2 linked regions of the Tribolium castaneum genome follow. The protein of the gene in region 1 binds, or shares a complex with, the protein of each later gene. Links are inferred from orthologs where the notes say so. Each region holds a gene or a part of one and is shown on either strand. Other genes may lie near its edges.

Region 1 (2,863 bases):
TCAAAGAGGACTAGATTTTTTTTTGATTTTTTTTTCAGTTTTAAAAATTATTTTCAGAATTAGATAAAGCAGTGACCGCATTTTAAAAAACTTTCTCGCCTACAGCCCGAGTAAAAGAATGTATCCTGGAAATCAGTTTAAAAAATGTGCTGTAGAACACTGTGGAATGTGACCAAAATTCGACTCTTTTTAGCTCCCTTTATTATAGTTTGGAACACATTTCTTTGGCAACCCATTGAATACATCCTTTGGATATTATGTTTGATAAAAAATAAGTTTCATCCAGTAAGCAGATCGGTCCAGGACGACCTTAGCTGGGATCCTCTATTAGCAAAATCAAATTTTTTAAAATCACGTTGCTCAATTTTTACATATTTCTCTGAATGGACGAAAATTTAATTAGATCTAATTTAGCATTCCCTTTATACATAATCGTATTTTTATTGGATTTCAGAGACATTTCAAGTTATTTTAACTCAATTTCTCTTTTTTATCTAAGGCGGCGCAGAATGTTTCTTCTCTAGAAGGCTGTGAAAGATTTTTTCTAAAGCAACAGAATCGTAGCCGTAGCCTTCTAGAAGGATACCTAAATTTTCACAAATGTCTCAATTGGCGACAATACATTTATAAATAATAAGCTGCATTTCTGCACATCATCAGAAGCAACATGAACCAAAATATCAACTATTTTAATGTAGGTATACTTACGGCGTTACACAGTTGCGACAGAAAGTTTCACAAGCAAAAAAACTTTATTATAGCCAATAAACGGATGCAAATTTAACACTCCCGACACAAATTTAACTAATTTAAGAATGCAAAACATTAACTATTGGCAAAAGAACGCAAAACACAAGTCACACATTTTCTGTGTACAAAATCTAGTAGTTGATGGTTTTCAAAGCCACCTTTCCGAATAAGTTTCCCAATTTTAAAATTTCATTACAGAATCCTGTAATTATGTGTTTGTGGGTTTGTAACACGACAGCCCCGTTTGTCGGGGTTTATTTATTAATCGGTTTATTAAATAAATTTTAAAATACATGGCTTTATTAAATATCAACAAAATTAAATTGTATTGCAAAAAACAAAAATAAATAATTTGCAACGAAATTCCCCAAAGGTTGGCGAGTCTGTTGTTTGACAGTTTGAGGTTAACTTTTGTGAACGTGATTGTCGCACCATATTTTCCAAAAAAACGTTTCAAAATTAGCTAAAAATGCCTGTTGCCGAAGAGGTCAAGTCCAGCTGGGCTGACGAGGTGGAGTTGGAGGGCGGGTCGCTCCCGCCCCCGACCGAGGTGTACGAAAACGGCTTCAAGATCGTGACCGAATACGCGTACAACGAAGACGACAAAAAAATGAAAATCGTGCGGACCTACAAGATCGAGAAGCGCGTCGTTTCAAAATCGATCGCTTTCCGCAAGACTTGGAAGAAATTCGGCGAGTGTGCCAACGACAAGCCTGGCCCGAACCCGGCCACCACGATCGTCGCCGAGGACGTGTACATGCAGTACATCACGAGCAAGGAGGAGGACAACAAGCAGGAAGACGACGCTTTGGAGAAGCTGAAGGCTCTGGGCGACAAGAACGTGGTCAAGTGCCGCACCTGCAGCGGGGACCACTGGACCTCCAAGTGCCCCTGGAAGGACACCATGCTGGCCGGGGGCAAAGTGCCCGACGACAAGAAGGGCCCGGCGGTTCCGTCAGGGTCGGATGCGGGCAAGGCCGGGGGGTCCAAGTACATTCCGCCGAGTTTGCGAGATGGGGCCGTCAGGAAGTCCGATAATCTCAATATGGCGCGCAGAGACGACGCCACGGCGATTCGAATCACCAATCTTAGTGAATCTACCACTGAGACTGATTTGGAGGATCTGGTGAAGCCGTTTGGCCCGATCCAGAAGTTGTATTTGGCGAAAGACAAACAAGCCGGTTATTGCAAAGGATTCGCTTATATTCATTTCAAGTTTAAGAACGACGCTGCTAAAGCCATTTCTATGCTTAATGGACACGGTTATGATCATCTTATACTCACGGTGGATTGGTCTAAGCCACACCCTAATTGAAATGTATTTTATAAGTTTTATTTGTATTGAATAAAAATGCTTTAGCTAATGTTGCGTTTTTTCAAACCTACAATACAACAAAATACGTAGACATTTCAGTTTTAAATAATTCGAACAGAGGTGAAGATTGGTACAGGTCTTAGGTACACTATTAAAATAAAATATAGAAAATTCTCAAGTGTTGAAACTATCAGCTCTTAGCATTTTTCGCGTAAACGGTAGGTAAACATTACGGTAACTTCTCGGAAAAATAAAAAATCCCAAGCAATTGAGTTTTTTTAACTCGAGAGGTTTGTAAAGGCATACAATACCTGATAGAACTTTGCTAAAGCTAGTTAATTGTTTTGTTTTTTTTGAAAAGGTAAAAAATCTTAGACAATAGTTTAAGAAGTCTGCAAAATATTAACTATTGCTGGCTAATTTAGCAAATAAATAAGGTTGGTTTTTGGTTATAAACTAACCAATAAAAATAAAATAAAAGGTTAATAAACTAACTAAAAGATTTATTAACCAATCAAAGAACCTTCTGGTTATTTAATATTAATAAGTAATAACTTGACTGGACAATAATTAAAATGCGAATATAGGATTTTCCTTTTATTTTTTTTTCGATTTTGCTTTTTAAACTTACGTTTATTTGTGTCAAAACAAATACTAAAGCAATTGTTTATATAGTAGCGGTTTAAAAGTTTTAATCCGCAACTCTATATCCCATTTCAGTTCATAATAAAATTGCAACAGCGCATTTGAATTTTTCGGAGTGAATAAAGCACAAATTGAGAGCTTCTGTTTGGCATT
Region 2 (3,169 bases), on another chromosome or scaffold:
GTATATACAACCATCAATACACAAGTGTTGCAATGTTTTTTAAAACACAAATAAGATTTTTTTTACAAAATAGCAGGATTATGTGGTAGGGTCTTGTTATCATCTTTTTATATTACAGTTTGAAGTATTTTTTAATAAAAATCGAATCGGTAGGTATTCGGTAATTTTCAATTTTAAATTTAAGTTGCACCAACCTAACAAGATTTACAAAAATAATTTAGGGTGTGATTTTTTTAACATGTATTTTTAAAATGTGAGGTATTTCAATTATTCAACAATAAGCTAATTTTGTTTCATCCCCGAGGCCACAATTGAACTCACCCCCTTGTTATAACAATAAGTCACCTGATCTTTCCTACTCCTAACCTCAGTTTTAAGTTTACGAAACGTCAAATCACAAACGAAAAGGGGCGTCGAAGACAACAATGAGTAAACATCCCTACAATTACGGTGCTACTGCGTCCACTGACGTAGGTTTCATCGGTAAGCGCTCCCCCGAATTCAATAATTTATGCGATGGCGTCGTAACAAACATTTACACAATCAACTCAAGTCTCAAGACCTTAGACAACGCTTTAAAAACAATCGGAACCAGAAAAGACAATCAGGGATTAAGAAGTTCAATGTAAGTCTTTTCCCTTCTGGAATTTCAATCACTTCCCTAATTCTAGACACGTCACTCAATTGAGCACAAACCAGATCGCATCAGTCACAAGCAAAGACATTCACAAGCTCAAGCAACTTGTATCCAAAAGCGAGAAACAGCAGCAGTTGCAAGTAGAAAAGTTAGAAGAGAATTTTAAAGAAGCGATCACGCGCTACTATTCCTTACAAAAGGACTTGGCCAACAAGCAGAAATCACATTTATTGGTTTCTGTAAGCATAGAAAATGACTACACGCCGGAAGAAGACACAGAACAGCAACGGCAAGCTCAGCTTGCACGCGAAATGGCGTTTGAGCAAGATATGCTCATGGAGAGAGAAGCTAGGATTAAACAAATTGAAGCCGATGTACTTGATGTTAACGAAATCATGCGCGAATTGGGGTCCTTAGTGCACGCCCAAGCGGAAACAATCGGTATTGAGCTAACTTTTAAAAAAATCGGGAGATTAATCAACTCTTTTTTTAAGATACTATTGAAAATAGCATAGACCATGCAACTGGCAATGTGGAAGAAGCGACAGAACAGTTAATTACAGCAGCGAGTTATCAGAATAAGTATAGGCGCAAGTTGCTATTCATGGTACTGATAGGACTTGCAATAGTTGCAATAATTATTATAATACTAGTTGTACAGTTTAAAAAGTAGCTGCGTAATATTACTTTTCTTTATAATTACTCAAACCTGTTTTTGTGGTGAATAACTGCTTGATATATTTATATACAGTATACACAGACTTTTTATAGCAACTAATCTTATCATAGAATTTATATTTATTTATGTAATTATCTTAATCACAAAATATGAATGATATTTAGTTTTTTTGTATAATTATCCATAAAATTCTATGAGAACCGCAAAAAATAAGTAGTGACATGAAACACTCTGTAGTTAAAATGTAGGCAACACATAAAACAACAGTTCCCTATCGCTTACAGCGGCCTCTGTTCCAAAAACTTTGAATTTTAAACGTCATTAAGACGTGTTTTTTGAGAAAGTTGTGCTTTTTTCTCATTTTTTAGTGAAAAACAAATTGAAAACCATGGCCGAAGCAATGAAACAAACTGTGGCAGCAATGCTTAAAGGCATTGAACGGTATTGTTATTCTTTTATTACGTTTTTTTACCATGCATTGGACTTAACCTCTATTTTCAGGTACAACCCTGATAATTTACCGACTTTGGAGCACTACGTGGAGATACAATCGCGCGAAAATGCCTACGATTTAGAGGCTAACTTGGCCGTCCTTAAATTGTACCAATTTAACCCTAGTAGCTTCAATATCGACATCACAAGTCAAATCCTGCTCAAGGCTTTGACAAACCTTCCAAACACGAATTTTATTTTGTGCAAATGTCTTTTGAACGAACGACAGGTTAATAAATTCAGTCAATATATTTGTTTTGCAAAAAAAAAACATTTTTTAGCTGGCGGAAGAACCCATCAACCAAATTATCTACTTGGCCGACATTTTGGAACAGTGCGATTTTCAATTGTTCTGGACCAGAATCCACTCAATGCCAGAGTTGACCCAACGAATTACCGGATTTTTAGACTCAATCCGGAAATTTGTGTGTCACGTAGTTGGAATCACGTATCAGACCATTGAAAGGTCCCATTTGGCCGAATTATTGGGAGACGTTGATGACCTTACGTTGAAAGTCTGGGTCAATAAGTATGGATGGAAGGAACAGGGCCAGTTGATTTTCATTGCCAATCAAGACGAAAACATCAAAACTAAAAATATTAACGAGAAAATCGATTTCGAAAATGTCGGAGCCATTATGGCTTCATGTCGCTGATTTGTATTTTAATTTTTCAATAATAAAATAAAACTACTTCGTGTCTACGGACCTCTAAATGCTAGGATACGAAACGACCAAATAAATCGTCCCCGTCCTTGATAGTTCCGTTAATATCACCAGAGAGCGCAGTTACTTGAGTTTTCAGAGCAATGAACTTGAAAAAATGGTTGCATTTGTGTAATAGTTAACACACAGCAATAAAAAAATACAAGCAAATTGGGGATTAAATTTCAATAGTAAGACAAACAATGCAAAAATTTTATCGTAAATTATATTTTAAATAAATTAAAACTTTTGGCACTGTGTCCCATATTTTTCAAAAGGCTGCGAATACGCTTACAGATACAAAAAAGTGTAAGGAACAACGTTGTAAAGAATTAAATTTCCTATCAAAAAATTCGCGACACCATATCTTTGGCACTCAAACCGTTGATGGTCTCCCAGACTTTTTAAAGGAAAATATAAATTTCTTCCTTTTATTTTATATCTTGTTTCGTCTCCTACAGAAGTAATAATCTGTATTCGTGTGATTGTTTCGGATGGGAACCCCCTCTATGTACAGTCCTGCGAATGAAGTTATACAATATGGAAGATGGTTAGTTCTAGTGTTTCATGCCAAACTCTCAAGACCAGAGTTCGAAAAAAACACCGCAGGTCCTTTAAAAGTAATTTAAACCGGCGCTCTCGCAGAAAAAGTAGTTT

Evidence for each region.
Region 2: eIF3g1 (region 1) and eIF3k share a complex: the UniProt entries of both Caenorhabditis elegans proteins name them as parts of the eukaryotic translation initiation factor 3 (eIF-3) complex. The link is inferred for Tribolium castaneum from reciprocal best matches to the Caenorhabditis elegans genes eif-3.G and eif-3.K.

The regions. Positions count from the first base shown.
Region 1 is NC_087395.1:17,788,052-17,790,914, forward strand, and holds eIF3g1 (eukaryotic translation initiation factor 3 subunit G), read left to right. Parts: upstream 1-1,102; 5' UTR 1,103-1,219; coding exon 1,220-2,065; 3' UTR 2,066-2,114; downstream 2,115-2,863. UniProt on the Caenorhabditis elegans protein: RNA-binding component of the eukaryotic translation initiation factor 3 (eIF-3) complex, which is involved in protein synthesis of a specialized repertoire of mRNAs and, together with other initiation factors, stimulates binding of mRNA and methionyl-tRNAi to the 40S ribosome.
Region 2 is NC_087402.1:8,161,711-8,164,879, reverse strand, and holds eIF3k (eukaryotic translation initiation factor 3 subunit K), read left to right. Parts: upstream 1-1,597; 5' UTR 1,598-1,704; coding exon 1,705-1,757; intron 1,758-1,817; coding exon 1,818-2,037; intron 2,038-2,089; coding exon 2,090-2,464; 3' UTR 2,465-2,509; downstream 2,510-3,169. Other genes in the region: Syx13 (syntaxin-12), read left to right, coding at 426-625, 672-1,078, 1,132-1,310; gem-associated protein 8, read left to right, coding at 3,053-3,062. UniProt on the Caenorhabditis elegans protein: Component of the eukaryotic translation initiation factor 3 (eIF-3) complex, which is involved in protein synthesis of a specialized repertoire of mRNAs and, together with other initiation factors, stimulates binding of mRNA and methionyl-tRNAi to the 40S ribosome.